2 linked regions of the Struthio camelus genome follow. The protein of the gene in region 1 interacts with the protein of each later gene in a pairwise test. Links are inferred from orthologs where the notes say so. Each region holds a gene or a part of one and is shown on either strand. Other genes may lie near its edges. The genes, in order: LIN7A and PALS2.

What was found.
Region 2: the proteins of LIN7A (region 1) and PALS2 interact in binary tests that used the Homo sapiens proteins (3 or more experiments, as listed by UniProt). The link is inferred for Struthio camelus from reciprocal best matches to the Homo sapiens genes LIN7A and PALS2.

The regions. Positions count from the first base shown.
Region 1 is NC_090942.1:45,805,423-45,821,605, forward strand, and holds the start of LIN7A (protein lin-7 homolog A), read right to left. Parts: upstream 8,410-16,183; 5' UTR 8,124-8,409; coding exon 8,081-8,123; intron 1-8,080. UniProt on the Homo sapiens protein: Plays a role in establishing and maintaining the asymmetric distribution of channels and receptors at the plasma membrane of polarized cells.
Region 2 is NC_090943.1:37,874,556-37,891,575, reverse strand, and holds the start of PALS2 (protein PALS2), read right to left. Parts: upstream 6,255-17,020; 5' UTR 6,031-6,254; intron 1-6,030.

The sequences.
Region 1 (16,183 bases):
AGATATACATGTAAAACAATCTCTTTTTCCACAGACTGTTTCCACAGGTGCATAGATTTTAAGGCCATCATGCCCTGAAAAAGTTTCTGTGGTCTGGCTTTGTATAACAAAGAACACAGCATACTATCCTTTATACCTGTGCTGATGCAGTTAGTGGTGTTTGACAAAAACACTTCTCCTGTATCTACGGAAAAGTGAAGAGATGACAGTAAATAAATTTCTGAAGGTTAAAAATGTTGCTGATGGTCTAATTTAGGCCATGGTCATCCAGCTAATCTGCTTCGAGCGCGTTCTTCCCCAGCACTTAACTGACTGTGAAGGGATTGACACCTTAAGATCTAGGATTTATCCTTTTTTTCAGAAAATAGAGTTAAAAATAAAGTTAAAGGGTTAGTGGACATGGAGGATTAGTATTTAAGCTTGGGTTCCCATTAAAAAGAACCAATAAAAATGAAATTTTGGTTCAGAAGAAATGAAAAAAGAACAATACTCTTCCTTATACAATAATCCATATTTATACAGGCACAATTAAAAATTAATGCTTTGATGCTCCGGTTATTTGTGCATACTTCCTTGTTCCACATTTTAAACAACCATCATTCTCTGATCTCTTCTGGAAACCAAGCTTTCTAATCAATGTTTTTTCTCTTTTCTTTAGGATTATTTGTTGAGTAAGGTAACAAACAACTCATTATGAGGAGCAGTATGCATTTCCTGGTTATTCAGCAGAACTACATTTGAGAAGTTTGGTTTTTTTTAATTAGCCTGTTTCAGATCCCAGTTCAAATATGTACCTATATCTCCTTCTGTATTTAACGTCCCTAAGATCTGAACTTGTTGTTTAAATACTCGGAAAAACAGCTTTAGCACGTCAATGTGTATTTCTGGATCAAATCTTCTGATCTGAATAGAAAATTAGCAGTGGAATGTTTCCCATTCAGAGGCTGAATCTCCAGCAAATATCTCAAAAGAAGATTAAGCAGACTTAGATTAACCTTGAAAACGCTTGGATTTATACCTACATGTACAGTTCACAGCACATTAGTAAGTTTTATTTTTAAAAAGCCAAATGTGTATGAAATTTACCATGTGAAACAAATTAACCGTGCATGAGGGAAGACAGATTTACAAATTGTCAGTTAAGTGGTTTCAAAACACTATTTGCCTTTGCTTGGGTTTCTCTTAAATCCTTAACTTCTAATTAATCATGTTTCTAATAAGTGACTAAAATCAATAGTTCTACTTAATTCATATTGCAAATCCTAGTGCGTTACTTACAAGAGCATCCCTTTGTATCTCAGTTACAAATACAAGCTTTTGGTTGTCTGTATGCTGTTTTGCACTTTGCACTTGTCATCCACGTTAAGGAGAGATGTCCATGCATGTGCTGAGAAACAGGTAACTGAAAGGACAAGTTATCCTCTGCACAAAGCGGATGGCTTCGCTAATTTGTCACATTTTTTTTATTTTCTGTCTGGTAACTTCATTAGAGGGGTCCAACTCAAGTGACAGGATGGAGTTAAGCAAATTGTTTACTTGCAATTACATTAAGAGGCTAATCCTTTCTTTTCTTTAGTTACACAAATGTCTCTCAGACATCAGTGTGAAACTGAAGTTGGTAGGATCCAGCACAGGCATGTCATTTATAAAACAAATCCTTCCCTTTTAACATTACCTGCAGATAGAAAGAGAGAGTATATATTTGCTACACACAAAAAAAGCATTCCTTATGTTTCTTAATCATTAACACTCTGATCTTGTAACTTGTCGCAAACAGTGACTAGCGCACTTGCTCAGAGTCTTGTCAAAGACTCCACCCACTCCATCAAGTTTCAGCAGTAAGTTGCTTTTGAAGAATGAGAAGCAGAATACATACACGCAAGTTCAGTGTGCCTCCTTGCTTTACACAGGATAAATTCAGATAGGCTAAAATGATTATTTCATGGCTAATGTGTCAAAAGAGTTTTTGCAGCTTGACAGACCAAGAGGAATGCAAGCTCCCTGCAGAGACATCTGTTAACCACGGGCACTGTTTGCCTAGTTTCAGCAAAGGTTTGTCTCACAGACATTTCCTTACTGCGAACAAAGTTTCTACAGAGATATACAGTATGATTGATTTTGCGCTTCTAAAGTAAATACGACTGGAAGTTTGATATGCCCCTCTATACTTCTCAAAGGTGACAATGTTAAAAAACGTCACTAGTTTTCAATACCTTTCCATGTGTTTGTGTGGTGTTAACCACGGAGGTACAGCATTATGAAGAAAGGCAGAACCAGAGGTCAATTGTGCCTGGTGCACATTGAAGATGATACAATGAACTTTCATTTCTTTTCATTTACTGTGCAGTGACTAAGCTCAATTGCCATTTCTATAACATCATGAGCTGCTTTGGGCAGGAGGACAGAGTCATCTCTATAACAGCAAAGCCAGACAAACTGATATATGTCAGCGGAAACCTTACCTAACTCAAGTGCTTCCAGCTTTTCACAGAATTACTCTTACAGTCGTACACCTCGGTACCTCTTTCAATTCAGGCTTGTACTACCAGAGATATTTAAGTTGGATATATGCATCCAACTTTTCGAATTACATATTTTTACATTACTCAAAATAATCAAAGATGACATCTAAGTAGCCATTTCCTCTTATCTAGCTACAGGGCCACAGGAGACACTACTAAACTGCATCCTTAACTAATAAGCATTTAAATTGCACAGATCTTCAAAAAACATACCCATTCATAACCCATAAATCACCAGCTCAATCCACTCACCTTAATCCAGCTCTTCATAAAAATACAATTAAAAATGAAATAAGTGTTAACACAGTGATGTAAAACAAAAAATGCTTTTCAGTCTGTCACCAGAATTGTCACTTTTTCTGTTCCTGCAGATTCAAACATAAGCCTTTTTTTTTCTTGGAAGAATGAATTTGGTTATTTATATGTATGTCATCAGTTGGCTTATCATACAGAGAAGTGTTAAATTTAAAGTGTGTGGCTCTTGCAGAAATATTTTTACTATTTTAACATGCTAGCCTGAAGAGCAATACAAGAAATCTCTATGACGGATAGATATACTTTGTAGAAAGTCATGAAAGGGAGCAGCACAACCGCTTAACACTGTTTTGAAGAGCTTAACTGCAGTGTAAAAGATATTTGGCCTTATTCTGCACCTCTGTCAAGAAGTATATTTCACACTCCATGATTCGGGTTTTCTCTTCCTGATTAGTGCTTTATATATTTTTCCCAAGACAAATATATATGGTTTAACATACGTACAGTTCAGAGCAACTTATATTCAATATAATTTCTATTATAGACACATATGGGCAAAGACAGGGGAAAGTCCCCACTTAGGTAAGCTACGAGAATATAACGACCAAAAAAATGAAATGAAGAGAAGAAAAGAAAGGAAGGAAGAGTACTTTGACAAGTAACAACGTACATTAATGGTCAGCTGTCCTCCAGTATCACATTTGATAGAGTATGTCTACCACCTCTTATAGCAGATGGTAATTCCATGCATGCTCTTATTACTATTTACCTTCACTGAACATGTTTGCTGTATAACAGATTTTCAGTAAGTTTTGGCACACCCATTCCATTGGAAAAGTATTTAGCTGAATTCAAACAGAACCAACAGAGATTAGTTATGTGTTAGCTCAACAACAAGAAGTCTTTCTGGTTTCCTAGGACTGTTTTGAAAGCAAGAGAGATTCTGTTGTCAGTGTTTTTGGTTTATTTTAATGCTCTAAGTGATCTTAACTAAAGCCATCTCACATTGTTCCCCATCTGCCTCCTGTATATCCAACAGCTCTGACCTTGTTGTGAAGTTTTATAAGCACTTCGATATCAGCACTGCATGTTCAGTCAATTCAAAGTTCTTTCCTCTTCAAGCACGTGACTGTAACTGTCAGTGGTATGATTAGTAACTAATTACAAGGAAAAAAGGAATTGGACGTGGATTATTAACAAAAGATGGTCAAGCCTCCCCTCCCCCCCACATGCTAAAAAGATATTTTCTTGCTCTTAATCCCAGCGTGGTCTTAGCACAATCTAATCTCATATCTTCAAAAATGAGAGGAACTTTTGAAAAGTGCTCTTTTATAAACTGCCACTTTATCCTGCTCCTATGCAAAGAGAAACAGGGACAGAGGTTTTCCAGCAATCTGAGCAAATAAATGGTTGGTTTTCTTTAAGAGCAGACTTCCATCTTTGGAAGGAAGAGTACAAATAAAATTTAAAGTAAGGTAAGCTTTATTAAAAACTTGCTAGATGTTTAGCACAGTAAGAAAGTTCAGATAAAGTAGAACATCTATTATGCACAGCTAGAAAGCACTTCAAAGTGCAGGACTCCACATGGGTGCCAAGGGAAGCACTAAAATTACTGCAATGAACCTCCCAATATATTTCCAAGAGCATAATGGTGTTTGCAGAAAACGCTTCCATCAGCCTGTGCTAACACACCCTTTCAGCTCTTCACATTCGCAGCAAGCTTCCTTCAGTTTCTAATTGCTCACAATGCGTATCTGGTGACACACAAGAGTTCATGGGAGGTCCTTAGAGAACCTCCAACAAGCTAAGATGGTTGGGATAGATGACAGTGCACTTGAAGAGCAGAACACTGCTGCAGTGTGTAGAAGATGCACCATTTCTGGCAGTATGAAGCTGGTAAGGTGGCAAGGGTCATGGGAAAGCAAAGGAACTGATCATTAGATGAGGAAATTAGGTTGCTGAACAGTAAAAATGAGTAAGGGTTACAGGAAAAGCAAGTAGTAATGTAGTTAACTGTGCTGAGAATTTGTGAGGAGTTGGGCAATGGGACAGAGCACATGAAGGAGGCAGGGGGTTATGGGGAGGAAAGGGGAAGGCAGGAACTGCTGTTCATGGGGTGGGTAGAAGTTTGCATGTATGAAACATGAAAGTCATCGAGAGGAAAGGAAAAGACAGTGATGCCAGGCTAGTAAATAGAACAACGGGTTCCAAGATACAGCAGTAGAAGTGATACATGAATACGAATAGCATAAATAGTTGGAAAATGCCAGTTAATTGAAAGTAAAGCTATCTATAAGAAGAAACAATGTCAATAAAGTCCTTATTAAGAAGTAAAAAAAAAAAAGTTCTGAAATTTTAAAATGCTTTTTCTTTGTCATTTTATGAATCATAGCATTGTAACTTTTTGCCTCAGTTTGGAACAAGGTAGGGTCTTCAAAAGCTCTAAAAACATCCCTGAGCTGGCCTGAAAATTCTCACATTTTGCTCTGAAGGGCATTGGGATTTACTACCGGGGTGGTACTGATTCAGGATGTAAGTTTTTTGCAATAAAGATAGTATAGGTGCACATTTTTTAGGGAAAAGACTTACGTGGCTATTGGTAGAATCACAGCATACAGGCTCTTTCCCCTCCCAAGCTCTGAAACACAGTCACCATCTACCCTAACCACCGTAAGAAAGTATCCACAAATCACTCTACTGCCTTACTTTACCCTCTTGAACAGTTGCTGATTCCTTCCCCTGCTCCCAGCAGGGCACCATACAAAGTTCAGGCAAAAGCCTTTGAGATTAAGTTTTAAGTGATTAAAACTTCCATTATTTTGTGAACTTGTTCCACATATTAAAAAGCCCTAATGGAAGTTGCACACATTTGTGCAGGTAGGTAGGCACATGATGAGAGGAATTAAGGAAATTAATTCCTGTGCTTTGGACAGAAGTAATCTTCCAGAATGTAATTGGCTTTCAAGCATTCACACATAACATGCCCTTCACCTTTAAATGGTAATTAATTTTAACATACATATTTCAAATTCCATTTATGTCAGGGTTCAGGAAAGCTCCTATTGCCCTAGCCGAACACACGATATTCGTAGTCTTATCCTGGACAAAATGTAAGAGCGTAATTCAGATTTCTGATCTATGTTTCTTTACAACGTTTTACCATTTGTATGTGACCCTTAGCAGGGAGAAATGCAGAAGAATGCTCCCTGAGACAGAGTTCAAGAGACAGCTCCCTCAGCAATGCAAGGCGATTGCTATATCCTTCCACGGAATATACCTTCTCTTCTTGCTGCATTGAACTCTCTTTGGACATGGTAAAGTGGATACACGTCGTGGTCTCCACGACTTTTCAGGGCTTTGCCTAGACCATACTAGAGCTGTGCAAACCAGAGTGATCACACACATAGCTGCATCTGCTTTAATAAAAGCAATGGAAGTCTGGGAAATCCCACGACGCAGCACCTTCCTTCTTCCATGGTCGTGAGAGAAAAGACTACAGAGGAAATTTTTGGAAAATTTAGGCTTGACCTAGTTGCTTCTGAGATGTCGGCCCACCCTCTCCGCTTGATGTAGCGGCAACATGCGATAGGTGAAATGTATCCCTCTGATAAAATGGCCTTCTGTAGGTCAGGTGCAGTATTTAAATCCACTACTTGTCTATACTTTTCTTTCGCATGTCACATCCTATGACCATGTGATACTGCATCTCCCTCATACTAATATCAGCCCTGTATGACAACCTGGGAGATTGCAACGTTGGCATCCCCACCCAAACGGTTAGGCATATCCTGGACGACAGATGTTTATATTTAAATTGGGACTAATTTGTATTTTCTGTATTGTGGCTTTGTTAAAGCTTAGTCTTAGTAATGAAAAGGAATACATAATTCTGAAATAGTAATACTTTTCTTTGAAAAGCCAGGTTTCCTAATGGATTGCCATCTGTTCAACCCTTTGCCAGGAAACAGATTTGTCCTGCTTACTGCAAACAGTATTAGGGTGAAACTGTAGATTACACAGTGGATTGCTGAGCAGTTTAATTTAAAGTGCATGCTAGCGCTTTGTTATTTCAGAAATAACAACTATAGTTGTTTCTTTTCTAGCAAAGCTTGAATTTACACAAATCCATCCAGCAAACTGTATTTAGAATACTTTATGAGGTGTTTTGCTCTTCAATTCCAATAAAGTCGCCTAAAAATCAAAATTTATCATGTTGAAACTGAGCTCATCAGGTTTCTTTTGCATAGCAAGGAGCTCTCTGTCTTATTTTGAGAGCCCTTCTTAATCTTCCAGAAAGAAGATTTTGAAAGACAAGACGTTGACCTAAATCATGCATTCAGAAGTCCAAGACTTATGCATGCTGGGAGCCTCTAAATGCAAGTTAGGAAGAAAGATGCCCCAGCAATTCAGAACGCTGTCGGGAGCTGTTTGACCTCTTTAACTCGTGCAGCCAAAGCAGCAAAACAAATGAGGATGGTAAGTTACTCTCCTCTGTAACCCAGAGAAATCTGGTAACGTTTCTGCAGAGCCTTCTTAGAGGCACACACCTACAGTCATTGAGAGGTCCAATTTGTACAGCCTGGAGGCAGAAGTTGAGTTTCAACGTAACCTCAGGAGCGCAGTACCCTCTGGCATCATCTCCATAAGGTTAGTGACAGTGTCTTAAAGCTAGGAAAACATCAAGCCTGCTCTCTATATCTGGACCAAGTACTCATCCACACAAATACCTAGACGCACTGTTTTACACAGTACCGCCGCTAACGGCGGCGGAGACAGAAACTGCCCTGGCCGCTCCCTCCCCCGCATCAACCAACCCCCCGAAACGCAGCATGTGGCACCTGGAAAGGAACATCTTTTTAGGAACGCGACAACCTGTAACTTCCAGATGCCGGGAGAGAAGGGCAGCCGCCACCGCAGCAAGGCAGGCGCCCAGGCTGCCCACACCCCGCCGCCCTGTCAGCGCCCAGGCGCCGGCAGCAGGCACGGCTCGGCTCGGGGGCAGCCCGCCCCCGCGGGATGCCGGCCCTACCCCGGCTCCTCGGGACGGGCAACCTCTTCCCCCCCCCCCGCCCCCAACCTCCGGAGAAACTTTTATTTTCTCCGTTTTTATTCCTCCCGTCCGCGAGCCGGGCTCGGCGGGGAGACGCCTTCCCTCCTCGCCACCCGCCTCGCCCGGCACGCCCGCCGCCGCCGCGCTGGGGCTCCGGGGGAAACTGTGCGGCTCTCTGCGCCGCGGATGGCCCCTCGGGCCGGCGCCCGGGCTGGCAGGGGCGGGCGGGCGCGGCGGCAGGAGCCGCGCTTACCTCGGTCCAGCGTGAGCGGCTGGACCGCTGTCAGTGTCGCCATGTCTGCGGCGGGGCTGGAGCCCGAGTGACGCGCGGCTCCGACACCGGCGTGCAGTGAGGGGAAGGGCGGGGAGAGGGGGCGGAGGAGGGGGAGGAGGGTGTCGGCGGGAGGGCGACGCGCGGCAGCAGGCGAGGCGAGGCGCTGGCTACCGGCATCGCCGGGCTAGCCGGCCGGGCCTGGCGGGAGGCCTCCCGCCTCCTTCGGGCTGGCCTCGGGGCGGAGCCGGCGGGCCGCCGGCGCGGGGGAGGCGAGGGCGCCGCAGGCCGGTTCTTAACGGCTTCGTCACGAGCCGCAGGCGGGAGGGGCGCCGCAACGGCCGGCGGCGGGAAGGCGGGCGGTCCGGGCCGGCCCCATTGGCGGAGGGGAGCGGGGGGGGAGCGGGGCTCGTTTGGGGTGGGCCGTGCCGTGCCGTGCCGCCGCCGGGGTGAGGAGCCGGCGAGGGGAAGGAGGGCGCGTTTGTGCCGGCGTCGTGGGTCTGCATGGCGGTGCTGCCGGCAGGATGGGCAGGGCCTTGGCGCCAACGGGCACCGCCGTTTTAAGTCTGCCGAGGCGTGTCCACCACCATAGTGGTGGTTTTTGACGGGCGTACTCGTCAGCCTCGTCCGCCGTCCTGCGGTGGCCAGTTTCCTGAGCGTTGAGTGCAGCTGGGCCACCCTCAGGAAATGAAAGTCCTCTGATAAGACGCGTCGACGTGCGTCTCCGTCGCGTGGGGTTGAGTCCTCGCACTGGCAGAGAGAGGTGGCCGCAGGCGCGTCGCGCTCAGCGCACGCCGATGAGTTGCGATGTGCTTGACGGAGGCTGTCGGTGAAGGTGGCGTTTCGTACAGTGAGCGCAGCGGGACTTGCTGGCAGCCGTCTGGTCGTGTGCTCCTGGCCTCCCCAGGGAGTGGCAGCGAATGTCGTCTCCTGCCTCGCTGGAAAAGGGGGTGTTTGTGAGCACGGCAGAGCGCCACAGAGTTGCTGCTGCCTTCCCCAGGGTGGACAACGGTGTACAGAAATGACTGAGTGAAGAATTAGATCCTGTTAGACCATTGCCTGGTCTGCTACCTGCATTTTTGTTTGCCCAAGAAGCATTTAAACTGGGTGGAATCGTAGTCCAAAGAGGAAGGCAGTACTCTGTTCCCCATATCCCCTGGGACCTGAGAAAACAGAGAGGACTTAAAAATACAGCAGTGGGAGGCTGCACATCAATAAAAGCTTTCTACCTGCAAGGGTATTTCAACACCGGTGTAGATAATTAGGGAAACTGGAAGTATTATCATTGGAAGTTTTAAGAACAGGTTAAAAATACATTTGGCAGTCTTAGATAAATTTAAATAATACACATGAGCCACCCACTTCTTCTGTTAGACTGAATTCAACACAAATTTCTCTGATTAATAAACAATAAACAGTTGTCCCTTTGGATAGCTTGACAAGAAAATGTTTTAATTGGTGAAAATACTAAAGTCAAAAAATCTATTTTTGGCAAGCAGTCAATTTTATAAATCAAAATTAACATAAGGATTTTTATTATGCAGATTTTATGTACTTGCCTAGCAGCTGGATTGACATAAAGTGTAACAGCTCCTCTTGAGTAGTCACATTACTGTGTATTGGATTCATAGTCCTGAACAGAGAAGAGGTACACATTTGGAGCTTTAACAGCCTAATGCGACAACTCTCAAACTGTTATGACACTTTAAAAAAGTCTATTGCAGACATAAAAGTATGTTTAAATAATATTAAAAGCAAAGTGCCAAGCTAATTAGCCAATCAGGTTGTTTTTCATACAGGACTTTATAATCCTCCAACTTGTTCTTTTAAATTGCCATATTGTGAACAGACATTTTGCAGCAAAATACAATTACGACATGAACTTTTCTATTAATAAATATGTAATGCATATGCCAAATAGATAACTTGTTAAAGCTAGATCTTTAGAAAAAGCAATGTTTGGGCCTGAGCAGGGTTTCTGTGGAAAGCGGTAAGCTCATTCTGAGTTCACCCTTTTATATCTACCGCTGGTCAGATTTCCTATGCTCTGCCACAGAGGCTAATTGGCACTTGGATGAGGGATTTGAATGGGAGTATTATCTGTGCTCAAGGAAGATGAAAAGCAGCATTTGCTGAAATTAGACATTTCCTAATCAGCATAGCTGCATAGCTAATGCCCAAGAATGTTAAAGCTGAGGAGTGCCTTAAGCTGCTGAACTGGGAAGATTTCAGAAGTTGTCCAGTAGAATTCCGTAATTGGAAAAAGGGAGAGGGAATGAACCAGAGAGCTGTGAAGTAGCTCTGGTTTCCCAGTGTCTGTTCCCAGGAGAAAAAGCAGACTTCAATACAAATTAGTAGTCAAAGAGAATTAGTATCAATCAGCCTACCTTCTTGGAAGGTGGATCTTTCTAGATGGAAACAACTGTTATGATCTTCAGTCCTCTTGCTGATTCCTTGGGCTATATTGAAGCTTTTAATTTAATATCACGTGATGTTTACTGAATGGGTGAAACTATACTGAATTAACAGAGTATCTATTATATGCACTGGAATCTGGTTTATTGGCAGATCTTCAAAATGTAGGCAGTGGTCAGGTGCCAGTGTACAAAGCTATTTCTAACAGATCGCCTGGAGATTCATTCTGGCTATTTGCTATTTTAATCAAAGATATAAAATGTGGACATAGAGGCTTTGGTAGCTGTTTTTAGATAATGCATCAGAGAAATAGTAAGGAAGATATGATATAAAAATAAATCACAATAAAAGTGGGTAAACCTTGGGACAGGTTGTCCAGAGAGGCTGTAGAATCTCCATCCTTTGAGATTTTCAGACCTGATGGGGCAAAGACATGGGCAACCTGCTCTAGCTGTGAAGTCAGCCCTGCTTTGAGCGGGAGGTCAGACTAGATGTTCTTCAAGTCCTTTCCAACATAAATTATTCTATGATCCTGTAACAAAGTGGTCAAACTACTGGTAAGAATTGCTGGAATAGCTGGACTAAATGGTTACAGTCCAAAAGTATTGTGTTTTAACGCAGCTGCAAGTGTTGAGGAATGCAATTGATACTTGTGAGATCGAAGCCTGTTTTGGGAAGGGGTGGTCTTACATAACAGTCTCAACATAAATTCTTGGTGCGCTGTTGTCAAAATGGCTAATGTGATCCTTGAATATAGGATCCTTAGGTATAGGAGTATGAAGAAGAGGAGTGACAAATAGAACTAGGGAAATGATCCTTCTTGTGTACGTAGCATTGATAAAGCAACTTGCTGGAATCCTGTGTCCAGATCTGGTGTTTGCATTTCAAAATGGCGACTAAACTTTGATGTAAGGTTTAAAGACCTGAATGCTTATCAAAGGGAAGCGTGAAAAGGAACTAAATCATTGTGTATAGGTCTATGTATAAGCAAGAGGCACAATAGTGCGGGGATTTATAGTCTTTAAATTTATAGTCTTAAGACATAAGGTGATCCCATGACTGGGAGTTTGACAAATCCAGCCTTGAGTCTGACATACTTTTCTAGCAATAAGGATAACACAAGGTCCCATTATTCACTGTTGCTTGAAATCTTAGCAAAAATTAGAGGTCTTTTAAAAAGGCTTGCTTTGATCTAACTTCTAAGGAAGAGTAGAATGGCAAAGGTATTCAGGAGGTTAGATGAGATAATGATTGTGATCTATTACTCTCATGACTTCTGTGACTGTCTGATTTCTCTCAGGAATTGGAGCTACAAGGGCCAGAGAATTATTTCTACACAGCACAGTGCAGTGGAATGTGGAAAACCCAACACACCTCTGAACACAGTAGTTGGCTACCAGAGTAATGCATCTCACTAGTCCTAAGCGTTGTACGGGCTAATTAATTCACTGGAACTAAGCTGTCACCCTGTGACTGGAATACAGTGGTAAATGCAGCTATTTTTTTCCCCTGAGACACCTCAAACAGAGCTAAATCAGAGGTGGAAGTGCTATTTCTGGTGGCTGCAGAGGTGTGCGGCAAGAAGTCACAGCATATTGGCTAGCTCAGTCTGTGTCTGGGTTACCAGCGCTGTGTTATGCCTTTTAGCTATGCTCTTTATATTAGTCTTTGGACTAAATGTTTTGTCATGACTAAATTTTACTTTGGGCAATTACCTTTGGGTTCCTACTTACATATCCCATGAGGTTTCAGTTTGCTGCAAGACTGTTCACAGCCAGGTTTACTTTGGAGAGCTTGGGGGGCAGCCACTCGCTTTCACCCTAAGTTTACAAAATAGGTGAATTTTATTTCATGATCTAATTAAATCTTGTTTATGCCCCTTTTGGTTAAATGCAATGTGTTATTTCATTGCTCTTGTATCTACTTGATGGCTCCGGGGATCACACTCTTTGTTTGGAGGATGACCAGCTGTATCAGTCGTTCCCCGTCCAACAATGGTTTTATCATGTTTGAACTTTGCATGGAACTCCAGATTATTTCAGTGCAGATTCCAGGTACAGAGAACTTTCAAGATCATATCTTAGAACTGATTCAGAGCACACATTCAGCCTTTTCTCTTTTTTTCCTGCTGACCACTAGTTTCACTTGCACCTAGTACTTCAGTGCAACTAAAAGCAGTTTCCAATAGTGTTGTAATACTGCCTATGAATTCTCAAAAGGCTCTCAGGAGCCATTGAAATTTGTTTTTTGAGTGGCATTTTGCCTCTACAGGGGAAAGAATTCTTCCTTTTTAAAATCCTTCAGTTATTTCCATGCTGTTTCCATGGCAGAACTTGCTATTTGAGACATCTAATGGTTTAGCAGCAGGTTGTTTATTGGGCAAAAAAGTGCATCAGCTTCCCATAAGAAATGTGATTTAGTGCTTTCTGAGAATTATATGCATTAGTCACATGTACAGTTCATTTTGTCCGAGGAGAGCCATGCCACCTTAAATAATATGTTAGATGAGCTGGAAAGTTCTATAGGAGTATGCCTCTGTATAGTACAGTACTTTTCCACTGTACTGCACTGTATTGTAGTACCATGCTTTCCTACAGGACCCGTTTTACATTTTGTAGGTAATGCAATTGCTATTTTCCCAAACGTTAAAACCAATTTGGCCTTTAAAAATAGTTCTTTTTTTTTCTTTTTTCTTTCCTTTTTTTCTTTTGTTGTTATTGTCGTCGTTGGTAAAGATTCAGCTCCAGTGGCCTACAGTGAGAAAAGAATTGAGCCTTGCTGAAAGATTGTCCTTAGACTCTGTTGAAATTCAGGTGGAGAGTCTACTCAGTGCTGTGGGTTTCACCTTATAGTCTATAGAACCCTATCAAATCCAGGCACCCTCTCTAAAAATAACTACTGCAAAAGCTGACTAAGAAAAGCATCCCTGTTGTCAGTAGGCTTACGTTTTCTGATTGGGGTACTGGGCTGCACTTTGGTGAACAAGGCCCACCCTTTCAGGCAAGAGAACAGTCCGAAAGCAGTTACAAATCAGACCTTTAGCCCATGATGTGTAAAACCATTCAAAATACCTGATACCTGAAACTTGGATCTGTTTCTCGTGGACGTTTTAGGAAGCGTTTACCATGACTTACTTACTTTGACTGCTTTAAGGATGTGGTCTCTACCCAAAGTTTGTCTGTACTGTTAACCTGTGAGAGGAAGTGTAAATTACTCTCTGTGGGACCACAACTCTTCATTTGGTGTGTTTACTGCCAAGTGGGGCTTTGTCTGCAAGCACCATACCTGCAGTCTTAACATACTCATAGTATATGAATACCAACAGACTGTAGCTAGTGTTTTTAATTATTCTCACAACCATTTTGCATCTAAATTGCACCTCTCATAGATAAGCATCATGAATTGTCCACCTACCTCCCATATCCAATCTATTAATATACATTTTGGATGGAATTTTTGAGTTAATGTGATTTCCTAACAAGAACCATATGAGTTAAAAAGAGACTTGTCCATGAGAATATGTTTATTGATTATTCTTGGCTGGGTTTTTTGTTGTTTGCATCAAAACATTCATATACAGAAAAAACAGAGAATGTGTGGTCACAGAATTGAAAATCTTATCTGTAGAGGATGTTAAAACAGCAGAACATATCATTTCAAATGGTTTTAGAAACCAGTGGTGAGCTCATACTGATAGTTACAAGGAAGTGCGTGGTGTGAAGTATGTTGATTTAGAGAAAAAAGTGCAAGGACAGACCACAATTCCATAAAATTGCCATGGCTAATTAATCTGGGAGTGTGAACAGGGCAACAGATATTGCTGGCTATCAGCCTTGTATTTACTGAATCTGTAAGGCCAGTGTTCATTTTCATGTGAGATAAGTGACTTTTTGGTATGCCTCTGAAAATGGGTGAGACCTTGATTTTAAGGAGTTGTTGTAATTAACTCTGATTTTAGTATATTCCTTAAGTGATTTTTTTGAGCCATGAACATTAAAATATGATTAAAAAGCCATTTTTAAGTCTAGCTTGTATTTACACATTTTAATTGGGAACGGAAGAAAAGCAAGCTGTTTGCAAAACTAATGTGTTTACATGAAGCTTCAGTATTATCTGAAATCACCGATTACATGATGAAGCCGCGTAGATAATCAGTTTTGTCAGTTTGAGGATTGAAAAAGCCAAATAAACCAACGAAGAATAAAAAAACTCACGACTTGGAGAAACAGTATTGTGACTGAGATGAAAGCAGTAATTCTGTTTTAGTCCTGCTTTGCATAAAGAATGGGAAAAGATAAATTTAATTTTAGTTGAGATAGATTATGATTGTACTGAAACTTTCCTGTTTTTTTCAGTGACACGCTCATAAAAGATGATAGTTTAAGTACTGTGGGGACGAGAATGTCATGGCCACTGATTATCACTTTGAATAACGTGATCTTCGCAGGACAAGAGAGCCAACAGGAAATACGACCAAGTTATCTTGGTCTAAGAAGCAGTTTAATGGTCGTCTCTGTATCTCCAATCAGCATCTCTTCAGGGCTCATCAGTGCAACATTGTGAACAATTAAAGCACATCTCATCACTGCAATGCGCTTAGGTGCACTTGCTAAGATATTCCGCTCCATTGCGTACCCCGGAGGCGAGACCAGCTTTAGGGCACATGTAGGTTATATAGATGTATTTTAGATGTGTACGGATGCTGATATGTCTGCATGTAGTCCCAATGTTGTGATAAACTTGTTTGTCTAAAGGTAGTTTAAAGTCTTATTTCCTATGAGCCTGGGAGTCTGCAAGACTCTTAGTCTTGCAAACAGTAAATGTCTGGGCATATACTGTCTTTACTCACATGGTAAACTTACTTGCTTCAGTGAGTTAACTAGTGCAAAAAAGTGTGTGACTCAGTTCAAAATTTAATTAAATGACATAAACAATATTTTCCTCATGGGAGGCCCTCAGGGAAACCTGAAATGTACAGATTTAAGGTCCTTGGGTGATTTTTTGGATAGCATACTTTTAATGTTCAGAGGAACATTTCCTCTTGGCACTAAATTAACAATATTCTTCAGCACATGCTGCTGTCCATCTGCTCAAAGCCCTCAGATGACACCATTCTGGTAAATTTGCTCTTCATTCACATTCAAAGCCATCAAATTTGCTTTCAAATTGACCCATATTCCGTTCCAGGCTAGAGAACAAATTCTCAATTTTTTTCCACTCTAATGGCTGCAGCATTGTCAACAGTTTATATCTAACCTTTTCTCTAAATAGATGAATGCTGCTGGGATTGACATCAGGTCACAGGGCTCTTCTGTCCTGCTTTCTCTGCTGCCACAGATGATGCTCAAGGCCCACTGAAGCAGCACTCCAATCACATTAACAGCTATCATCAAACACTGATGAGTATTTGATTTTTCTCCAGGCCTGTCTTAGCTGCTGCTGCTGCAGTGAGAACTATCCCATCTAGTTAGTGATTGGAGTGGGTCTGTCTGGGCAGAGAGTGCTCTCTGTTCGTAGCAAAGCTCTTTTTTATGGTACCATCTCCGTTTGCTGTCACAAGAAGTCGCCTTTTGTTGCATCTCTTTGCCCAGCCAAGGAAATTCCCCTTAACAGAAGTACAGTTAGTTGTGCCCTACTAGCAGCCCTTGGAGACGGTGGCTCTGATCATAG
Region 2 (17,020 bases), on another chromosome or scaffold:
ATTGAGTAACGTGCTTCTGGATGTTGCTCAAAGACTATACAGAATCTATATAGAAGAGCTACACTGATCAGAACTGACCAAAGTGCTGTTTGTCCCATTCTGCCATTGCTTACCAAATCTAGCATAAGCAGCAAAACTACATGATCTGGGGAGAGCAACTGAATATCTGCATGACTTGCATTCAGATGCCTTTCCTCCAGTCATACATTCTACAAACGTTAAGTTTCACTTAACAATTTCTCTCTGCCCAAGTGTTCTTCACCAATGAACACATACACTGAACTTGCTAATTACACCTCCTCCTCCTACAGGTCCACTGACCTGAAAAATGCAAAATAAGTTTTAAGAAGCAGTATGACTATTGTAAATTTAATATCATTCAAGTAAATCTATCCAGCAACACTGTATTTTGCTACAATGCAATAGTTGACAAAGCCGGAATTGCTTAGAAAGGCAAAAGAAACTTTTCAACCGTTTCATCCACTAGACTGCAGTTTGTCTTCTCAGTTTCACAACTTCTGCTATATAAGCAGTTTCATCTTTCCAAAGAGACTTCTGTAAACTTCAACAGTGAATTAGGAAAGGTATGGGGAGGAATTTTAATAAGAAGGTATATAAATGCTTACTTACCAATTGTCACACTGACGTATTAAAAATAAATAAATAAATAAATGTCACATAAACAGCTGTTAAGACATTTTATATGCAGAGCATACAAAAAACTCTCATATGCTCCTTACTTGCATATCTCGGAAATTTAAACTGGTAACAAATAAATGAACATAAAATTATGTAGCTAAATATATAAAGAAAGTAATAATATAGAACGGCTAGTGTATTTTTCTTTCATTCCCTTGCGGAATTTACTTCAGTGCTCCCTCACATTATATTATTAGCCCTAAGAAAAAGCTTTACTCTATTCTACTCAATTTATTTCCTTCTACATTGTATCTAGGCATTTAAAGTGATATCACTTTAACTTTTCATTAAATCACATTTGACTAGTGGGTGAGACAAAGCTTTAATTGAGATGCTAAAAACAAAGTATCTGAGTAGTCACTCTCACAAGAGAATTAATACTTGAATGGCAACACTATCTCAAAGAGGCTTAAATGGACAAAACTTAAGAAGTTAAACTACTTTTCTTACCTCTTAGCGGGCATTATTTTAACAGTATTTTAACAAAACATTTGGAATCAAAAAAGTAAAAGCTTAAGCTTGCTTGAAGTCAACAGCTATGTCTCCACCTACTGGAAAAGAGAATTTAACTGAAAAACTGGTTTAATCCTTTGAGGCTCAGATAAGCAGAAGTCATAAGAGCAATATAGTAGTGCAAGATGGGGGGGTGGGGGGGGAGGGTTTCCTTTCATTTTTTTCCAAAGTGTGTGTGGAAATCGCTGGCATTTTCTACAATCAGCATAGATATCATTCTGTCCCTATTCTCAGACAGATGCTTGTCAGAACGCAAAACCAGTCAATACCTTTAAAATAAGATATCTAAATAACTTACTGAATAACATCTGTTGTCAATAAATCTGAACAAGTCATCTAATTTCAATATTTTACTAGTTTCTACCATGCTTTCATGAAACCTGCATACTAACATTAGAATGATTTCTTTAAATAAATGATTTGCTTAAAACACATAGAATAGTTGCTAATATGAAACATTCTCAATATATAAAAATTTTTAAACTAAAAAGATGATAAATAAAAGTGTAGAACCTCCCATTTTCAAATCTGCATTTTTATTATTAAATAAAGTTTGTGAAATAACTCACCATCATTCTAAAGATGCTAAATAATACAAAATAAGAATGTAAGTATTTTGACAGGGAAAAATACCTCTCCCCACCTCCCCATCAGCAAGTCAAATGTCTCCATCATTCTTGTAAGATATTTGATCATTTTTAGACACCACCCATAAGCAAATAATTCAAGCTTGCTTTATTCTGAAAAAAGCTGTTTTTCAAACCACAGGACAGCACATTAGTATCACAATGCTTTGTTTATTCCATTACAAAAGCCAACAGTTTTGCTGTAGTGTAACCTGAGAACTACTGCAGATGGTTAGTAGTAATGACCAGGGAATCAAATAAATCCTAAACTTAAAAGTGATCTTAACTCCTCCCCACCAAACTGACACTAAACCATTATTCTAATATTTTGTTGAACTCAGATAAAAAAAGATTTTAGTCATAACTGTTCTAAACTAGCCCAAAACACCGACTGGTCCAGCTATTTGGCACCGCCTTCTCCTAGCTAGTATGCACTTAACTAAAATCTTTTATCAATGTCCCCTACTACTTAACTTGTGATAACGAACAGTCACATTAACACCCTCACGTCAATGAAAACAAAGCATTATGCTCCTCTAAAAGTATTTGTCACCTGCACATCTGTATTTTAGCGTGCCTTTCAAATGTCAGCCTGAACAAAACTCGCTTTTTCCCCCCCGGAACCCTTTAGGAACTTCTGTTGTGGCGGACACTATAACCGCTTTCCCCAGTAGACTCACTCTTTAGCCTGTGATCATATTCTGCTTCACATTTCCACACAAATAATTCCAATACTGTCTGCCCTGCTCCACCTCTATGATGTTTCTAAAAATTCAGTTTTTCCTGCCATGCACAAGGCCATACCCATTCCAGCTGTCCTCAGCACTGAGTTTATAGAACACATACTCTTTAATGCATACTGTTACTAAGGCAGGTTTCTCCCCTCAACTCAATTTATCTATTGGCTCTCCTTTCCTCATAACAAACATCAAACATGACCATCTCACTCAAGGTCAGCTAAAACAAGTAAACAAACAAACAAACAAATAGCAAAAAGCAAGCCTGAGATGTAGGCACTGTTGAGAACCCTTTTGTCTGTTCTATGGTATCCTTCTGAAGCAAATACTCTTCTTGATCTAAGCACAATCACTACCTCAGCGCTCCAAACTAAGACAAGTCAATTTTTCCCCATTTTTACTTTAAACACAGAACACAAGAGGGCATATCACTTACAACTACAGCAGAAAGCATGCATTTAAAGCAGGACACCAAGCTGTGTTAAGATTGCATTAAAAGCGTTAAGTAATTTTTACAAATAAACATATTTAGGAAAAAAAGTATGATCCAGTGATTGAGTAACTGTAGTAATAGATTCATACTGAAGGCTCTGTGGTCTGCCGTTATGGTACTATAAAGTCTTCCCCAGATCATCAACCTTTGTTCATATATGCACTTTGTAGAATACCCACCACTAGGAAGTAACATCACATTGGAACTTGGTCCTGATTGAAGAAGTTATATGTTTGAGGACAATGCTCAGATCACATCCTTAACAGCCCAGAATAAAGCCTGCCAAATTATTTGGTAGGATATTTGATTTTCCTGCTTTTACTCTGGCTAAACATCAATTAAAGATGCCAAAAGTAGCAAGTTATATCATCTAGATTTCTGCTCCTTTCTGGTTCCTGAGGTTTTCATGTACAGTAATTTAGGGAAAAAAAGTTTGACTAAAAATGTTATGCTTTTAATAAGAAGCATCTAAAAAAATGACTCTCAGAGATTCATTAGATTCATTCTCTCTGTAGCTTCCTTAAGACACTTTCATATTAGCTAAGCATGTTTTCACTTCCTTCATTATTTCTGTTTTACTTAAAAAACCATATGTGACTAAGTCATGATTTAACTTAATAGCTGCCATTATTTATTAAAAAAAAAAAAAAAACAACAACCACAAGAAGCAGTTCAAGAAAGGTCCAGTTGCACATATGCTGCAACAGCTTTTCAATCATTTTGGAGTTTTCTGGTATGCACAGTTAGTCCACTAATATAGCAGCAGAACAGATACGGCTCCAAATAGCTGCTATGGTATATTTGTCAATAACTTCCATATTAAGTAGTTCTTGACAACAGAGGCAGAAACAGCAGTGATTTGCAGGATCTGAAACAAATGCAAGCACATAGAATTCAAAGAAGCTGAACATACACACTTTCACACAGATGCTGAAGGTTCCATTAAAAAAAAAAAAAAAGTAGTGTCTCATCTAGAAAAGACGAGGAGATTGAAAGCTAACAAAGATACCAGCCTTATAATGACACCATGCCTCAGTATTGCAGATTTTTCAGAAAAATATGGATCCCAGGTAATCTATATAGTGCAATACCTAGACTCAGAGAACAAAATAAGGAGAGCAAGATCATCAATTCCAAACATTTCAAGGAAGGAAAGAGGAAATTAAAGATTTCTCTGAAGAGTCCTCTAAAAAAATCACTTAAAATTAGCTCAATCTAGCCTCCAATTACCAGCATGTTATTTAAATGAGAATTTTCTCCATGGCATTTTTGATAAGAATTTGTAACAGATGTTGCACGGTCCAGTCACATGGCAAAGTGTTAAAAGCCAACCACCACAGCAGAAATAAAAGGAAACATTATGATGCTACTGTCAACTCAACCAGTTTAACAGACACTATCTGTTCAGAAGCAGCATGCTAAGGTTTGTTCAAAGCCTCCTCTAGTCTGACGTCTATTTATAGCTGCCTAGCCTCTCTACAATTTCTCACAGCCCCTCCTCCTCCCAAAAGCCAAGTCAGGAGAAGTTTAATGGATGTAATCTCGGGCCCTGTGCGGCAAGCCGGTCAGAAGCTCTGCAGCTCTCTTCCAGCAATCCCATGTGCAATAAAACTGGGAATAAGAGGAAGAGAATGGTCTAACCCACACAGGAGCCAAATACATGGGATAAACCTTATCTCTGCTCCTTAGGAACAAACTCATTTTTCCTCTGCCAGCATGTCGATAGCGTTGAACCACATAAGCATCAGAGCCTTAGCAAAAGATACCTGCCTCCTTCCTTCTCACCACAGAGAAACAGACTAAGCCAACTGTCTTGAAAGCCAAGACAGAAGCTATCCAAGTCAGCTCTGACCCCTGGACAGCAGCAATGTCATCCACATACCTTCCCACTTACACTTTAGTGTTACTACTGTACATTGTATGTTTCTCAACTGGAGAGCGGGTGTTTGTTGGGTTTTTTTTCCAATGCAGTTTCTGGTTAAGAGTTGATATCCGCTACCCAGCCATGCACGTGTGCTCTACGGTTCCAGACATATTCAGACAGGTTCTCTTTCACCAGCATCTCCATCAACAGTTTAAACACCCTAGAAAGGGGGCATACATTTTCCTGAATACGGCGCAACAGCACCGCAGGCTGACCTCTGCCACAAGCCCACCACCTCCCTTGGTGCCTCTCCCACTGCCCTACCTCCACTTGCTTGCAGTACTGGTACAGAGCCTAAGGAGGTGATAGCACTGTTGCAAACTCCTGCCCACCCGATTACAACCACATTTTCTCCCCTTTTCCCAATCAGAGGCAGACGGAAGGGGAGGGATGACTTCCCCGGGAGGAAAATAACCAGGGAAAGGCCAGGGCAGAGATCAAGAGAGGAGGAAGCATCCCAAAGGGGGAGCAGATAATCCCCGAGAGGCGAGGCTGCGGAGGGGCACAATCGGGGAGGGAGGGAGGGAAGGCAGGCGAAGCGGGGGAAATAATCCGACAGCGAAGGGAGGGGATAATCCCCTCGGAGAAGGGGGGAGGCGGAGGATCCCGGGAGGGAGGGGCGGGAAATCTGATAATCTCCAGGAGGAGAGAAAATACCGGGAAGGGGGTGGGGGAAGGAGGGTGGGCGGGTAGATAATCCGAAGCAGCAGATGAAGAGCGAGTCTCCCGGGGACGCACCCAGAGGCGGGAGGAGGAGGGTTAATCCTCCTTCTGGGGGCAAAAATCCCTTTTCCCCGACTCGGGCGCTGCCATGTTCGGTGCCCTGCAGGCCCGCCCGGCGCCGGTACCTGTGTGCGGGCGGCTCTTCCCCCCTCACACCACACGCACACGGGGCGCCTGGGCGGCCGCCCCGCTCGCGGCCGCCCAGCAAGGGGTCTCCGCCGGCATGGCCGCAGGACGCCGCTTCCCGCCGGCGTGCGGGCAGACCCTCCTCCTCCTCCTCCCCCCCCCGCCCGCCTCTCCGCTACCGCAACTCACCGGCTGGCACCGGCTCCCGCTCCCCGTCCCCTCCTCAGCGGGCGCCGCTCAGCCCCATCTACGAACTCGGGCGCGCGAGCCGGCCGTTGGAGGACGGGGCGCGCGAGCCACCGCCGCCGCTTCCCCCGCTCCTGCCGCTCTGCGCTCGCCTCGGCGCGCGCCGCCGGGGTGGCTGTAGCACGCGTTCCCGCTCCTCCTCCGCTCCCCCAACCCCCCCCGCCCCCGGCCTCCGCGGCGCGCGCGCGCGCGGCCTCCGCGGCGATGGCGCGCAAGCACCGCCCCCACCTCCTAGAGCTAAACGGCCGGGCGCGTGAGGGGGCGCGCGCGCCTCAGCCTCGCCCCCCCCCCGCCTGCCCCGCCCCGGGCCCCGCCCCGTGTGTGTGTGTGTGTGTGTGTGTGTGTGTGTGTGTGTGTGTGTGTGTGTGTGTGTGTGTGTGTGTGTGTCCCAGAGGGGAGTGTGGTTGTGAGAGAGGAGCGTTCGTGACAGGACGGGTGACAACGCCTGTGTTTGTGAGGGAGCGTGTGAGAGCGAGCAAGTGTGTGTATGTGACAGCGTGAGGGGGCGTGTGTGTATGAGAGGGCGTGTGCCAGAGGGAGGGTGTGTGTGACTGTGAGGGAGGGGCTGTGGGGGGTGCGTGTGTGTGTGTGCGAGAGAGGGTGGGTGGGTGTGAGGGAGAGGGGGTGTGTGAGAGGGAGGGGGTGTGTGAGAGGGAGGGGGTGTGTGAGAAGGCATGTGTATTGAGAGGGGTGGGGGGGAGGATGTGTGTGTGAGAGGGGGTGTATGTGTGAGAAAGAGGAGTTGGGGGGGTGTGAGAGAGGGGAGTATGAGAGGGTGTGTGTGTGTGAGAGGGGGATGGGAGAGGGGGTGTGCGTGTGACAGGGAGTGTGAGTGAGAGGGGGTGTGGGGGTATGTGGGAGAGGGTGTGTGTGAGAGGGAGTGTGTGTGTGTGTGAGAGAGAGAGGAGTGTGAGGGAGTGTGTGTGTGTTAGGGAGTGTGTGTGTGTATTAGGGAGGGGCTGTGTGTGAGGGGGGTATGTGGGGGGTATGTGAGAGGGGTGTGTGTGAGAGGGAGTGTGTGTGTGGGAGAGAGGAGTGTGAGGGAGTGTGTGTGAGAGGGAGTGTGTGTGAGAGAGGAGTGTGAAAGGGTATGTGTGTGTGTAAGGGAGGGGGGGTGTGAGAGGGGATGGGGGCGTGTGAGAGGCGGGGTGTGAGAGCACATGTGTGTGAGACAGGGTGTGTGTGAGAGGGACTGTGGGGGGTGAGAGAGGGAGTGTATGTGTGAGGGTGGGGGTATGAAAGGAGGGGGTAAGTGAGAGAGGGTGTGTGTGTGAGAGGGAATGAGGTGGAGTGGAGGGGGGGGGGGGACTCTGTGTGTGTGAGAGACAGGGTGCATGTGTCCCTGCTGTTGTGCGGGGCACATGTACCCTCTGACTGGGTTTGATGTGACTGTTTGCCAGGGCAGGTTTTGAACTCTCCCCTGGTCAAAGTCACAAGGGGTCACACCAGCATTTCACTTTGCACTGTGTATTTAGTCACTGAGTGCGCGAAACACTGACGAAGGATAAATCAAATATTTAAAAGAGAGAACAAAAAATTGTCTCCTGCAACTAATAACATCCAAGACCACTGAGATGGAAACAATGTTGCAAAAGTGATTTTCCTGCACTTTTGATCACCGTTCACTTTTTGCATTTTATTTGTTTTGAACAGCCATAATAGACTAACAATTCCACTTTTTGCTTTTACTTGGCTTTGCAGAGGCTTTCACCTTTGGATGCTCTCGGACTTAACGAAATCTGAGTTGCAAATACTGAGTCTTGCATGCACAAGTCTCACTGGAGCTGGAGTGTCTATGTGAGAGTAAAATTTGCCCCATAAAAGAAAACATTCAATCCCAAACAATATTTCATTCCTCAGATTGTTTTCATTCACTTCTGCCTTCTTTTACTGACCTTCCAAAATTTTTAAATCCAAGCATACAGTTTGGCGGTAATGTACTTAATTATGAATACGTGATAGCCTGCTGTAACATACGGTAACCCTTAATAATAGCTTGCTGCAGTTCACGCTGGCTTTTGCTGTGCAAGCTGTTGAGGAGAAGGAAAAGCCAGAGCTATGTGGGGGTATAGTTCATTTGAACAGAAAACCCATCAGGAATTGATTTTCATTTTAGTGGGTTCAAGTTGTGCTTTCATACCAGCTAACAAATAAGGCGATTTTTATACCACCAAGGAGGTCAAAAGAAACATGCATGGTGGGCATAATTAAAGAAGCCGTGGAACAGCAGCTGGCAACTAAAAAACCTTTTTCAAATTGACCAATAAAGACATATTAAGTAAATAAGATCTTTGTGTCTTCATCTTAGGGAGCCAGCATATAAAATTCCTTTACGAATTATTATTATTTGCTTTTTGAGTTACGGTAGCTACCATGGGCTCTGCTCAGACCAAAGCCACTGTGGTGGGAGCTTCACAAGGGCATGGGAGTTTGTGTCCTCAGGTCCAAAGAGCTTACGATCCTCTTACAATCTCTCAGTTAAAAGGTGCAAATTAAACGTATTTTTGTTAATTTCCTTCACAAGCAGGTATCTTTTCCCTGTTAAACTGAAAAGAAACAGCATGTTGTTAAGGATTCTAAGCTAAGTAATGAACTATCTTCTTTTTGGTCTTCAAACCAATGAAAAAACTGACAGGCATAGAAAGCCTCACACCCCAAAAAATAACTCCAGATCATTCTCTCTTCTTTACCTCTCATTTATTTTTTGTGATGTTTTAATGGAAAACCTTTTGAACCAGGGCCACAGAATGCATAACTGTCATCTTATTCTGTATTACACAACTCAACATCTTGTTGATTTTTTCTGTTACGATCCCTGTATTTGAGGAGGCTGAAAATTATTCTATTAAGGAGAAAGGGTTGTAGCAATTTATGCTGGCACTTTTAATGATATCCTGACTTTACCTTCATGGCCAATGAAAGAAAATCATTTTACTGCAACGCTCAGAGGTTCCTTATTACAATTCAACTCAAAGCTTGAATCCAAGCCTGTGAAACACGAGAGCCCGTTTTTGGCTGTAAGAGAAATATCTAAACACAAGAATTTTGACTGCTCCACAGCTTTTTTGAATGTCTTCCATTCTGGCCTCGGCAGCTGCTATTTGGCTATTAAAGCCCTGTAGGGAATGTGTCCCAAATGCTCACACACTACTTCTTGCCCAATACTTAGTCCATTTGACCCATTAGGGTCAAGAAAGGAACATAAATGAATAGTTTTAGAACAGAATTTAGAAAATGATGTTTACCCTCTGGCAGGAATTATCATATCATTTTGGCTTTTTATTGCTTACGTTCACGTGCCGCTCATAACAACAATCCCCTACCCAACGACGGTCCTTAGGACCGTGGTAGAGCAGTCCAATCTGATAGCTTTGTATCATTCCTGCTGCGCAAAACAACTGTAAATCTCTCCATTTAGCAGGGAATTACCGTACTTTAGCCAAGCCTCACCTGTTCCCAGTTTAGGGCAGAGAAAATGGGGACCTGGCCAAGGCCGAATTATGCCCCAGCAGTTTCTGGCTAGTGGTCGTGCGCAGCCAGGCGTGAGTTAGAATAGTGCCAACGCTGAGTTGCTTTATGCCAGGGATTATCTCAGTCTCTGTCTAGCTACAGGATTCAGAGAGACTATAGAAAGTTGTGAGGTAGGTCCACCCCGGCCCTCCTGCTTTTGTGCTGATGAGGATTCACTTGAGCTAGAGTTAATGACTCTGCAGAGATCTGAACTCTGCCTTTGAAACTCTGACGATACGGATCGCGCTCAGACAAATGGTGCCTTTTACAATGAAGCGTAATGCTTCTCTCCATAAAACTGCAGAGACTAGGACTGCTAATGCCAGGATAGCTCTCTGCTGGTGCTAGTAGTAGCATGGTAGATGTCTGTCTCCGAAGTCTTTCATCTTTGGTAGGGCTCCTAGCTGATGTTGACTGGGTGAAGGAGCAGACACGCCTTGCACGTGTTATAGGAGTGAGGATGAGGTTATGCTTTCAGCTGATTGCCAGCGTACTCTGCAAGCGCAGTGTTCTGTGTACTTTAGTTTACCTGTATCTAACTTGGATATTCAGTTATGATCGCTCTTCACGTAGCTGGAATATCAGACTACTTCTCTATTTGATAGTCCCTAAAATATGTTGTCCTCATCGCATGGTAAGTTATAGACAATACAGCCTCAGCCTCTTTGCTGTGTTTGTCACAATTTGGGATCTTACGACTATAGCTTCTCTTTGTCATCAAAGCGGTGAGATTTTTTTTTATGAGGTTCTTTGTGCCAAAGGAATCAGCTAGGAGTTTTTCTTTGGTATATAATATGAATTCACATCTCTACACAAGACATAGTTCCTGATATGCCAAAAGATCCAGCAAAAAACAACAAGATCTATAAAATGCATTTCATAAGAAACTGCACAAGTTTCCAAGCTATCCCATAGGAACTCATTAGAAGATCACACAAATGATTACAAATATTGAGGGTAGAATAAAAATTGTTTCCTCTTCTGTGGGGTGGAGGGGATTTGATTGAAAACATAGTAATTAGGAGAATGTTGATTTACATGGAAAGGCAGTACGAAAAAATAAAAGGGGACTATACCTTTAGAGTTAAAAGGCTGTACATCTAAGTCCCTGTGCTGTTTTCATTACTGAGGTATGTTTGCATGCGGAATTCAACTCCAAAGGAGGAGATAATAAAGACAAATAATATGGCTTTATTTTTAAAAGGGATGGATAATTTCATGGCAGCTTACAACATTGGTAACCGGGCAAACTAAGATAATAAGGCTAATCAAATCTCATGCTTCACAGCACTAGTTCCCTGCGGGGTCAAGAAAAATCTTTCCACTATATACAACACTACACAATTAGCAAGGTCATTATTGGGGAGCAGAGGTACGGCCTTCTGAAGCAGCAAGCTTTTACCATTATCAGAGAACAGGGGCTGTACTTGGCCAGATAGAGAAAAGAGCACTGTTTTCTTACGCCCCTTCTGCTCCTCTTCCCTGTCAGGTCCATTGTTTTAGAATTACAACACTCGAGTTTGTCAAAAAAATATTTCCTTGAACATAATTTCCTAAGTATATTACTGCCTGAAAAAGTCTTCCACCTGTGACTGGTGGTCCAGCTCAAAAATAGCAGGCACTGACTGGACACAAGGACGGTATCGATTAAGAGGTTGCAGGTTGCAAATGCACATTGCCCTCTGGTTAGGTCAGTAATGTTATGGAATTTGCTTCTCACTAGTGGCTTAGGCAGAAAGACATGGTCCCAAACCAGCTGATCTTAGCTAGAAGCTGAAATGACATGTGTTTGGAATATTTCATTTTAGAAGTACTGTTCATTTTCTTTAATTGCCTGAACATATTGTTGTAGGTGTTCTGTCTGTATACTTGAATTTTATTTTCCTTCAGTGTGTGCATCAGAGAAATGATATTAGCTGCAACTGAAAATATTTTGCTATTTCTTCTGCAAAATTTATATTCTATATATGAATGTGATACTTTTTACAAGGCTTTTTTTTTCTCCTTGCAAGATAGAAAAAGCACAATAGCAGAATAGCATCTTTTGAAAAATCATATTCCAAAAAGAACTCCCTCTCTATGAGCAATACCTCAGACACAACAAGTAGGCACTTCCTTGACTCCTACCTCATATATATTTATTTTAAATGCACTAATTATTCTCAGGTGACCTATTCTTTTCCCCTGTGCACAACCTATGTCCATTCTCAACTCTCAGTCCACATACTGTTTGGAGCAAAAAAAATCCCAGCCACCACCTCACCTCCATCTTGAGATTTGAGTTAAATAAGAAGAAAATCAAGAAAACATGGGAGGAGCTTACAGGACTATCTCAAACTTTCTTCACAGGTATGAATATGCCAATTATTCTTATATAAAGAACATGCAACTCATTTCTCTCCCTAGACTACATGGCCATGAGCTGTTAGAGCACTCAACTGAAGGAAACTGAAGAAAAAATAAAATTTATATTTACTCCTCAGATTTCAGGGACAGATTTAGTAAAGTATCTACTGTCTACAAACTAAAATCCAGAATACAGAGTTAGGCACAAAGATCCATAAGGCCAAACAATGAAAACGCATCTGTTCCTGAATGGAGTAGGTGATTTAGTGACAACATAGCCAAGTAAGTCTGACGTACTCAATGCCGCCTTTGCCTCATTCTTCACTGACCGGGTCTCCCAGGCCTGTGTGCAAGGAGGAGAGCCACCAGCAGTGGGTGAGGACAAAGTCAGGGATTACTTGTGAGAACTCAACCCATACAACCCATGGGGCCGGATGGGCTGCATCTGAGGGTGCAGAGAGAGCTGGCTAATGTCCTTACAAGGCCACTCTCTATCCTCTTTGAAAAGTCATGGAGATTGGAGGAGGTCCCCAACAACTGGAAAAGGCAAATTTTGCACTCAGCTGCAGAGCAAGCCAAAAGGATGATCCAGGAAACTACCAGCTGGATAGTCTCAATTAAGTTCCTGAGAAAATCATGGAGCAAGTCCTTTTGGAATACATTTCTGAGCACATGAAGGAAAAGATGACCGGAAACAGTTAGCATGGATTTACCAAGGGTAAATCAAGCCTGACCAGCTTGATTGCCTTTTATGATAAAATGACTGAATTTATGAAGGAGGAGACAGCAGTAGTTGTTAAGACTTCGGCAAGGCTTGAAATATTTAAGTCTTTAGCAAGGTTTTTGACACTGTCTCCCACTACATTCTTGTATCAAGGTTCAGACAGTTTGGAGGGATGGAAAAGTAGATGGGTAAACAGCTGGTTGGGTGATCAAGGGTTCAGAGGTTCAGAGTTAATGGGCCCTACTGTACCTGGAGGCCAGTAACAAGTGGAGTACCACAGGGGTCTGTCCTGGAGCCTGTCCTGTTTAACATCCTTGTCAATGACCTGGAGGAGGCGACAGAGTGCTGCTTGCAGATGAAACCAAGCTGGGGGGTGCAGCTGATATGCTGGAGGGCAGAGCAACCCAGACAGGCTGGAGGAATGGGCCAACAGGAGCCACAAGAAATTCATCATGGAAAAATGCAGAGACTTGCACCTGGGGTGGATTAGGTGCTTGCACCAATCCAGGCTGGAGATTGCCTGGCTGCAGAGCAGATCTGTGAAAAAGCCCCTGGAGATGTCTGTATACAGCAAGCTGAACATGAACTAGGAATGTCCTCTGGCAGCAAAGAAGGTCAACAGCATCTGGGGCTGCATTAAAAAGAGGAAAGCCAGTAGATTATTATTCTCCTTTACCTGGTACTCCTTAGATCACATCTAGAATTGTGCATCCAGTTTTGAGAACCCCAGTACCAGAAAGGCATTTATAAACTGGAGTGAATTCAGCAGTGGGACACCAAGATGGTCACGGGCTGGAGCACTTGTCTGGTGAAGAGAGGCTGAGCGATCTGGGCTTGTTCAGCTGGGAGAAGAGATGTCTTTGGGGGGACCTAACATCAGCCTGGCAGTGTCTTCTGGAAGGTTATCAAGGAGCTGGAGCCAGGCTTCATAGCAGGGCATTTCAGGAGGATGAGCAACAGAGGACATACATCAAAACAAGAGAATTTCAGACTGGATACAATGAAAAACGTTTTCACCATCAGGGCAGTCGAGCAATGGAAGAGGTTGCCAAGAGAAGTTGTGCAGTTTCCGTCCTTGGAGTTTTTCAAGACCCAAGTGGATAAAGCCCTGAGCAACCTGGACTCATCTCATCCCTGACCCTTCTTTGACCAGGAGATTGGACAGTGGACCTCCTGAGTCACTCTATGACTGAATTACTCTATGATTCTGACTCAATGAGTTCATGTGCAGAACACATGGAAAAGTGACTATACGGTGGGAGAAGACAGTTCTAGCATTTATGATTTATCCAGTGAAATGCTGCATCTCAAATATTACTGGGAGCGAGGACCAAAATCCAGGCTATAGTTGCTCAGCTGTGCCATAATTAATTGGATATAGTTCCATAATCCTCCTTTTTTGCTCTCCTTTTGGCCCCAGCAACCTTGCACTCTTGGCTGCACAGGGACCAGCTTCAGGAGGAAGACTTGAATGTTTTGAAGTCTTTTCTGGCCGCTAGCAAATTTCTTAGATTTTTCCCTTTCCACAGTCTCCCTCTAACAGGTTTCCACACTGAAAGAGAAGTCACAGCAAAATTCTGAAAACAAAACTTTCCAGGTCTCTTGACAGATAGCTCAGTGGTATTCATATCCAAAAATAATTTCTTAACAGAAAGTGTGGAAATTCCCCTATTTCACCAGACTATCTTCACTCCACAGACACAAAGCTGAAATTCTAGGAAAAAAAAACCCACATATATTCTAAGTTTCCGTATGGTTTTCCTTTATACTGCTAAAATGATGTCATTTACACCCATTTGGAGATCCATTTACTACATGATGGCTATAAAGGGGCCTTAGTTTAAAGAATAATCAAGTCCCAGGAAACCTTTGTCACATTCAATAAAATCAGAATACAAAGGCAAAGAATTTAATTAAAAACTTCAAATAAACTCAGGGGAATCAAATCATTTGTGAATCTAAGCCTATCAGAAACGCCGTGGCTTAGTGGCCCACATGAGTAGACCTCAGTTCATTTCCTAACAAAATCTTCTCCACATTACAAAAAGTATTGCCAGAGAGACTATGAATCCTCATGCTTCAGGGCAAAATTAATAGTTAGCCTAGGTCAGGAAGAACTATCCCTTTCAACAGAAAAATGAGCAGTATTAGCAACTTTGGACTCCATGGCTCTCTTCCCGAAGCTGCTTTTGTAGCTTCAGCTACAAAAGACAGCTCCTTTCCAGAACTCTTTGGCTGCAAATCTTTTCTGGCCAAAGTACATTGCTGCTCATGTGTCCAGTTCATTGGGATGCTATCAAAAGATTGTGCCTCCAATGAAAATCTCAAAGATCGTCATCATCATCAGTAGCAGGCATTGCTACCCGTTCCCTGCTATCTGCCATGGCAAACTCATTGAAAGAAGACCACAAGTCTGTTTGCCAAGAGTGACAGCAGCATCAGAGGAGACTTTTTCTGCCTGAATGAGGAAACAAAGAAGAGGGAGTCAAGAGAAAATATGAGGCGATTATACAGATTGGAGAGGGGAAAGAAGCTGAAAAGATATTTTGCAGTTTAGAAAGGGCTCATTTTACTTACAACCACATTTAGGGACCAAATTCTTATTTTAGGCAGGTATAGCATCATGAAAAGAGTATTTAATGATTTATTACACCAATGTCGATCTTACATAACTTTCTGGTTGTGTTTCCTATTCAGTCTCCATATGTTTTTAAGATTGCAATCCCGTGATTTTCAGATTTGAGCCTGTCAGTCCTGAAAGTATTTAAAAGAAATTCAATTACAGCCACTAGAGCAAACCAAGCTTAAAAAGAAATAAAAATTGACTGTAAGCACATGTAATAAAATGTCTCCATTTAAAGTCTAATTACTTCTATTGCATGGTCTAAATAGACCTGAGAACTGTACTTACTGTTCTTGCCGTTAATTTCTGTCACAAAGTTGCTTATCAGTTGAGTAAAGTTGGCTCATAGGACTAGTGGTGTCCTTTTATTCTGAGTTATAAGTCTAGTTAAAACAACACTCTTGTTGCAAAGTGTGTTTTGGAAAGCCAGGGAGGAAATGGACTCCTTGAACCCATTTGTGCAATTTCTTCTGGGGCAAAGGGATGGTTACAAACCAGAAGTATGGAGCTGCACAGCGCAAAGCTGTCTCTGGGAACCTCAGACATGGCTCTGATCTCCTCTGCCTCAGACAAATTTTGGGCAGAGTGGGAAACTGAGAACACAGCTGACGAAACATGGGGCAGCCCCTGCAAATGGGGAGGTAAAAAATAGTTACTTTATGCTTCTCACAATACAAAGGCCATTCCAGGGATGAATTCCTAGTTATTGGTTAAACTCCTCTCTCATGCAAGGTGTTATTTTTACACATTACCATGGAAATGTGGTAGAATTTCCATCATCATTAATCTTTGAGAACAGATTAAACAAACATCCATCAGAAGTATCGTAGACTGCCGTGTCTCTGCCATATCCCTGACAGGGATATGGACTATTTGGCTTTTAGGATTCTTTACATTCCTAGTTTTCTGTCATTTATAGAGATTAATTTATAAATGAGAGGGAAATTGTATTTATGTAGTGTTTTACATTGCATGGAATTATTAAAATAGCCTCTAGTAATTATGTATTTTATTATGTATTAGTGTTATGTATTTTTATTAGTAGTAATACAATAATTAGTAATTTCATACTAATACATAGTAATTGTGTATTTTTAAATAAGTTTAACTTATAAGGAAAGTATCTTCTAACTTATAAGCAAAGTATCTTACAATATTTATGAATTATTTATGAATTACAATTGTCAGTCTTGCTTATTTATGTTTAAGCTCCACAAGGCAAAGATTATCTTTATTCTGTGTCTGAACAGTGCCTAATCTATCAAAATTCCACTTCTGGTTGGTCCCTAGGCGCTCCTATAAATAATACTACTAAAAATAGTGAATTATGTTTCTTAGTTTTTAACAACGTTACATTCATAATCCTATTTTTTCTTTTGGCTCCAGATTTTAGCAGGCTTCTCTTTGGTATTTTAGTGCCTTTTTATGCTTTTCAAAAGCTGTGTGCCCACCACAGTGCTTCTTTTTAACATGTTAAAGATTTTAGTAAAAATCAAATGATGTGAAGCTAAGGACTTCTTTTAAAGCAAAAGTTAGAAGCTGCAAGTCAGAAAGCCACAGCTAACTTAGTGCTTTCAGATAAGAGCAAAACACTTTTTCGTTTTAACAGATTGCAGGTGACTTTTAATAGAGCTTCATTCCTCACAGTGTCAACCTTGATTTTCATTTCTCATTAAAGAAAACACCCCCCAAAATTAAATATTTCTTCAATTAAATTTGAAATCTGAAAG